2 linked regions of the Coturnix japonica genome follow. The protein of the gene in region 1 interacts with the protein of each later gene in a biochemical or structural test. Links are inferred from orthologs where the notes say so. Each region holds a gene or a part of one and is shown on either strand. Other genes may lie near its edges.

Region 1 (3,651 bases):
CTTCTACAGTGCTGAGTGCTCACTAGGGAAACCCTGCCGTTTCTTGCTTCTCGCAGAAAGTGACTTGCAGACACTTGTTGAACCTTTGGAATAATGCAGTACAAATTGATACCCTATTAGTCACGATACACATTCATAATCCTGGAAGTGAATTATGAGGCAACTTTGGGATAACAAACACAATGCTGATATTACTTAAAACAAGGTCTTGCACTGATGAAAGGAAACATCTTGACAATTGTTTCGTAGGCATAAGTTTTTAGATGATGATGCAACAACTTTTATCTTTCCTCCAGTGGCATCTGACACCTTATGCAATTTCATTGCTAAGTTCCTTCTGCCTTTTTCCCCCCCTCTCCTTTCCTTTTTTTTGCTTCTTCCTTTAGACACAGAACCACACAGCAAACTACCCCGGCTGGCACAGCACCACGGTTGCTGACAATACCAGGACCAGTGGTGACAATGCACCTGTTTCCTGTTTGGGGGAACACCACCACTGTACTCCATCTCCGCCAGTGGATCATGGTTGCTTACCTGAGGAAAGTGCATCCCCCGCACGGTGCATGATTGTTCACCAGAGCAACATCCTGGATAATGTTAAGAATCTCTTAGAATTTGCAGAAACACTCCAGTTAATAGACTCCGTAAGTAAAACTGTCGCCTCAGGTGCATTTGTGTGTGGTCAAGGAGTAAGGGGAGAGGAACTGGGACCATCCTAAAACTATTGTTGTTGTGTTTTTTTTTCTTCTGAGTAACTTCTAATTGCTACAAGATCCGAAGCTTAGCTTCCAAAATAACAACACCTGGCTGCTCGTAAGTGAAGCCCCTGAGTGTGGAAGTGTTTGCTCTTTGTGCGTGTCTCCCTTTCCTGCTGCATCTTGGTATGGGAGTGTGATTCTTAGTGAACGACACATTACAAGTATGAAACAGTCTCTTACCGTGCTGCATCTCCCTACTAAGAGCAGAGACACAATGGAAGATTTTAAGCAGTGAAACAATACTTTCTTAGATTGGAAATGACACATGCTGTAGGTTTACATGTGGCCGATCATGTGTCTGCATCGTTTTCTAAAATTTCCCATTGAAGCATCAATTGCTGCTTCCTAGAGCAAAAGGGGTTTGCCCTAGTGTATGTGGAGAACCGGAGACACTGATTTTAACTTCCAGGTAGCTGAGTGACACTGACATGGCCTTTTACCATCATGATCTCTGGAGTACTGTGTGTAACATGAGTGGCATGGTCAAATACGTTTGCTGATAGCACTCTGCTTCATCAGCAGAGGGGTCGGCTTCATGCAGTGCTACATACCCTTTTGCATTTCCAGAGCAGTTGTGCTGGCTCAGAGGAGGCCAGTCTTGGTTGGGAGTCCAAGGCACATGTTTTTGGTTTTTTTCCTAATGATTTTCTGTCTTTGTTCTGCACAGAAAATGCTGGACTAACCAATAGTAAGGACATCATTTGACTGACTGTTTCTTTAGGACTTCACTTGCCACCAACACTGCTAGGGTGCTAGCTTGATATGCTTGACATGTAGACTGAAAACACAAATAAGAGATCCGAGTATCAGTACTCAAATAAAAACCATCAAGCAGAATTGAATTGGGAAAGCTTTGTATCCTAGTGCTGCATTTTCATGAGGTGGCACCATATACTGTCTTATGGCTCCGTGCCTCCCACGTTGTTTCAGGATCCTTCATCATGGGGTGATCTCAGCAGTTTTGAATTCTTTGAAGACGCAGACATTCTGGCTGGCAAAGCTACCTCAGGCAGAGCCGTGCAGCTGCAGCATGGAGGGGCCAGTGCTTGTGGACCTCCAGGACACCCCATCTCAAACCTGAGCAAAACCATGTCAAGTCAGGGCCCTCCTGGCTCACCAAAGTCCTTGTCTGCCTCGCAGGGCAGTGCGGCTCCGTGGGTCCTTCGCAAAAGGAGAGGGCATGTCAGCCCCTTAGCCAGTGGCCCCAGTAGCACCTTGGGACTGGCTGACGGCAGCAGCTCAACTTCTAAGCACTCCCCTGTCAAAAGCCTGCCCTTCTCTCCCTCGCAGGTAGATGATGACTTCTGCACAGATGTTACTAATTCTCAAAAGTCACTGCAGTGTTAACAATTTAGAAACTAATCCTTTGGAACAAATGACTAATTACCGTTGCACTTGTTGATTTCACTCCATGTTTGAATCTCGTCACTACTCCTAGTCCTTGCTGCTGAGTGTAGATCATCTGCAAGCTAACTGTTGATTTTCTTCTTTCAAATTCATCTGTGGAGCTTGGGTTTTTCTTTTTGATTTGGGTTTTTACTTTGGAGGGGATTGCAATCGCTTGCTTTGCTCACACTGTTAACTCCTTCAGCTACTAGATTTAAACATTTCTGATCATTGGTAATACTTTCCATCACTGTCCACTTACAGTATGATTCATTGACCTAGAAAACCCCAAATTGCGTTTAAATAGCATTCGGGTTGTGAGACAAACTGGCAACAACTAGAAAATTCTAATTGTGGGGTGGAGTGGAAGAGGAATGAAGAGAAAATCAGACTCTTACAATTACCTGGTGTGCACTTTGAAATTCTTGTGCACTGTTGCTTTGTTTCACAGCTGCAGCACTATTTAAAGGTGTTTTGTTTTGGTTTGTCTGTTTCTGTTGTTTTTGCCTTGATTTGATGTTAAAGTCAGAGAAATGCTGTTTCATGAAGAGTATGTATAGATGGCAGATAATGATCTCCTACCATATCTCCAATTATGCGTTAGGTATTTTAATCACATATCACTTGTCCAGTAAAATTCGTGTTATCATACATACCATGTTTTTTTCTAATCTGGTACAAGTGAAGTGCAGCAGGTAACCTGGTGAATCAGTGTCCAAATGAAGGATACCAGGACACTCACAGATTTATAGGTACTAGAAATGGAAGCTGTATTTTTGGCTGTCAAGTGGAACTCGTGGAGAAGCAATTTTCTCCAAACTGTTGCCTCCACCTCCTTTTCAGTCAGCTGAAAACACTCCACACTCCCATCGTAGGCAGTGAATTTCATTTTATGTTGTGAAAACGGAGCACTTTGTTTTGAGAGAGATGATAAGAAATTTATTTTCCTGTCATAGCTGCCTTATTTACTGCTTCAGAAGTATTTAGATTCCCCTAATAAAAATGTATGGAACTGTGGAAACCTGATTTCCAATGGGTTTCTTCCTGAAACATCCTCTACTCATCTTCTCTTGTTTCTTACCTCAAGCTCTCGATATTAATTACAATCTGTTTGCAGAAAATCCATATCAGATGTTTAAGTGGTAGAGATAGTATCTGTTTGGAATGGAGTGTCATCTTGTTTGTGATTTCCCACAATAGAGATGTCAGTCCTTACTTCCTGAATGCTCCAATCAGACAGTTTGCAGAATATATTTTTTCCACATAGTCAGGTACTCCACACGCACCTACCCATATGGTAGGGACAAGAGAGTCACTTATGGCAGTGAGAAGGAAATAACTTATGTTTTCTTCTGTTCATTAAAGTCAGATGAAGAAGTTGGCGTCACAATTTAGATGGTCCTGCTGATTTTCTTCTTTTCCTGCCTACAGTTCTTAAACACATCGTCCAATCACGAAAATCCGAACCTGGATAACCCCGCATTAACCTCCACACCAGTGTGTGGCC
Region 2 (3,651 bases), on another chromosome or scaffold:
TCATATTCAGTTTTCCTGTAAAGTCAATTTAAACGGGGGGGAAAAATGTCGCACAGATTCTTTAAAAATTATCAATGAAACGAAGGTGTTCCATGTTGGGACATTGTTCCTTCTGTGCCCACATAGACATCTGTGTTCTCCTTCTGACTCATGGGTCAGAATTGCTGCTGTGCTGGCAGCCAGGGCTCAGGCACTCTGAGGCGGTGCATGTGCTCACAGGGACTTCTTAGGCCTGTGGAATTATGCAGGTGTGCTGTATAGCAATGCTGAATACCAAGACAGATTTCTATACACTGATTTGCTGTGCGATCCAATTGTGGAAAAGTCAGTCTGCTTTCTTAACCCTTCTGGTTAAGGAAACTTTTAAAAATCCCCCGAACTGGGGTGCGACAAGGCTGAATCTGCAACGTTTTGGAGGCATCCCATGAACAAATGAGATCTAGCTTGGGATATTCTGAACCCAGGGTTTACTTCGAGTGCTTGTTTTTGTGTGTGTGCTTTCAGACTGAGTCCTGCAAAGCCAACTAAAAATATACTGAGATTTCAAATAAAATGGTGGGAAGTTTAAATGGATACGGAACAAAGTAACAACTTCTACCTATTCCCTCTTCCCTTGGCTTGTGCAGTTATGGATTATCCGATTCATTTAAATGCTGGCTTGGAATGACATGCTCCGTTACCACCAGGCTGCCTATTTGAAGCGCATTAAGTGTTTTGGTTATTTTAATTTTTTTATTTACCTTCTCAATTTAGATTTGTGATTTTGGATTGGCCAGGGTGGAAGAATTAGATGAATCTCGTCACATGACTCAGGAAGTTGTCACTCAGTATTATCGAGCTCCAGAAATCCTGATGGGCAGCCGCCACTACAGCAATGCTATTGACATCTGGTCTGTAGGCTGCATCTTTGCAGAACTGCTCGGGCGAAGAATATTGTTTCAGGCACAGAGTCCCATTCAGCAGGTATCATTAAACTTCCCTCTAAAACAGTTTGATGGAGTTAGTTATACCGATGCATTTTGAATCTTGAACTTCCTTTTGTTTTGCTTAGTTTACTCATGGGCAGGAAACCAAACTCTTTGTAACACTGAAGCGATGGTTTCCAGATGTTGTTAAAAGTAGTAATAATTGTCATTAGCTTTTGAAATTTGTGATTTTTTTTTTTATTCCCTTTAATCTGCTGCAGTACCAACGTTTACTGTGGCATTTTAAAGTGATGTAAATGGGATCAATATTTTTCTGACTATGAATAAGAGAAAGTAACGTTCCCATCAGTGTATAACAGTATTGTATTTGAGTTGTGGGGCTGATGGACCTGGTGGTGCCTCACAGAGCAGTGCTTCTGCCTGGGAGTGGAGCTGAGATGGAGAGAAGCCACCAAGTGTAGCAACACGTTTGGTGTACAGACAGTAATCACATTTCTCACTTTGATGCCAGCAGTCAATGAGTGATTTTCATGCCTGTGTAATGATGGTAATGGCTTTAATGGGTTTAGTCTCAGAGGGGGGCTGGGCAATTGCTTGTTAGCATGAGTGGATGGTGGTCATGAGGGAACCCTTGGAACCAAGGAGCTGAGCTCTCTACTGGCAGGATTTATTGGTTGTTTGCTTTTTAACTTTGACTCCTACAGGATGTTTTTGTTTTCATTCACAATAGGAACATATACATTCGCTTCTGCAAAAATACAGTGAAAGCACTGGTTCACGTGTTAGTTTAGCTCCAGAATCTGCTATCATAGTGAAACATATTAATATATACCTGAAATCCCAATTGTGTATGTTCTGTACCTGCAGCTGGATCTGATCACAGACCTGCTGGGAACGCCCTCACTGGAGGCAATGAGGACAGCGTGCGAAGGCGCCAAGGCACACATACTCAGGGGTCCTCACAAACAGGTACAGGCTGCACTTGGCCTTCGTGGCATAGCATTTCCTCTGTGTAGATACTACTGCTGTCTCATTCCTGTGTTTCACATCTCAGTTGAATTCTCAGGCTGGAGCACGGACATTCATAAATACTTTGTTTGATATCTAATTTCAAAGTTGTCTCTGCTTGTGAACTGAGTTACTAAGTTCACTGACGGTGGTTCTGGTTAATAGTGCAGTTATTCAATCTCCTGTGCAAATGAGATGTTTTCTCTGTTGTCAAGTGCATCTCTGATGAATCCCATTTATATTGTTTGAATTGCCGATACAGGTGAACATCGCTCCTGTTTTTGAGGAGATGATGTTTTGATAGCTATTCTGAATGAAGTTGTTAATTTAAGCGATAATGTTGGGAAGAGACAAATTAAATTGGCAATACAGTTCAGAAAGCCCCAGAGGGACAACTTTACAGACAGGATAGAGAGTGTTAGAAGAGGAAACTGCCCATTATCAGGATCAGTAAGCAGAATGGTCAAGCAGATCCTCAGCAGAGGTCCCCTCAGACAGCCGTGCAATGACCTGAGCTGTTTGTGAAAGGTTTAAGATGACACAGAAAGCTGAGGTGCAATGTTCAACATAACTGGTGTAAAAGTTAATAAAAATCCAAACCAGGGAAAAGAGATGAGATGAGATGATACCATTATGCCACCTGGAAAACAAAATTAGCTAATGTAAAGTACGGATGCAAAGAAATGCCTAAGCAGGAATCCCTAACAGTGGTAAAGCATTATGCCCGCCCAGTGTAGCCAATTTTGTGATTGTTAGATAGTAAAAAATGAACAAGATGAGTAACCAGTACATGTTAATACATCAGGTCTTTCCAGTAGAGTTTGCATATTTATTTTCTCCATATAGAAGTAATTTCTCAAATGTCAACTCACCACAATGGTAGTTACCATAGAAATGAGCACTGAATATATCTTGTGCTGTATTATTAACGTGCGAGTTGTACCTCCTAGGCAGCCTTGATTCCCTACATTGTGGTACGCGCTCTTTCTTTTAATGTTAATAATAGGAGGATTTCCTTAAGACTTTCTCTCCCAGTTCTCAAACAAATGAAGTCTAATTGTGTTCATTAGCACACACTAAGAATTGCATATTTTAAGCTTCTTGTCTTGTGCTCCCAACATTTCAGTTGTTTCAATGCACTTTGTGTACAGCTGTGTAATGCAGTGTACAAATGCAGTGCACAACTGCATCCAGGTGCTTTATGGAATATGTTGTTTTTAAATTCTGATGGTTTGATAATTGCTTGGCATTCCTGCAGTGCAGTACTTGTGCCTTTGGTAGGGCAGGCAAGAACTCCAGTATTGATTTGTTCTGTTTGTTAAACCTAAATGCTTTATTAGGAATTAAAAAGGGAAGAGGAAATTTTTTTGTTTTATTTTATGTTTTGTAATCCCAGTGCTGAAGTTGTTCTCTACAAGCCACTGAAACCATTGTTTTATCTATTGAATTATGGGAATGCCAAAAAGCAAGCAGGTGAAATGCTATAAAGTATTTCTGATATGGCCAATACACCAATCTATCTATAGGAGCTAAACTGTAAGCTGCAGTCTGTGTCTACTGTTACCTCTGAGCAGCACTGCTTCATGGAGTGTCTATGGAGAAAATATAAATGCATCCCCTAGAAAATAAACATGCAAGCAGGAAGCAGAAGGTTCTTTTATAGAAGGTGGAAGTTGCAGAACCCACCAGAGCCTTCAGAACTGCTGGACAAAATATG

The links. The genes of interacting proteins can lie anywhere in the genome.
Region 2: of the proteins of MYB (region 1) and NLK, one has a biochemical effect on the other in vitro, tested with the Homo sapiens proteins (2 studies listed by BioGRID, with this or other methods). The link is inferred for Coturnix japonica from reciprocal best matches to the Homo sapiens genes MYB and NLK.

What each region holds. Positions count from the first base shown.
Region 1 is NC_029518.1:50,403,399-50,407,049, reverse strand, and holds part of MYB (transcriptional activator Myb), read left to right. Parts: intron 1-386; coding exon 387-644; intron 645-1,688; coding exon 1,689-2,048; intron 2,049-3,575; coding exon 3,576-3,651. UniProt on the Homo sapiens protein: Transcriptional activator; DNA-binding protein that specifically recognize the sequence 5'-YAAC[GT]G-3'. Plays an important role in the control of proliferation and differentiation of hematopoietic progenitor cells.
Region 2 is NC_029534.1:8,031,338-8,034,988, forward strand, and holds part of NLK (serine/threonine-protein kinase NLK), read left to right. Parts: intron 1-753; coding exon 754-963; intron 964-1,793; coding exon 1,794-1,895; intron 1,896-3,651. UniProt on the Homo sapiens protein: Serine/threonine-protein kinase that regulates a number of transcription factors with key roles in cell fate determination. Positive effector of the non-canonical Wnt signaling pathway, acting downstream of WNT5A, MAP3K7/TAK1 and HIPK2.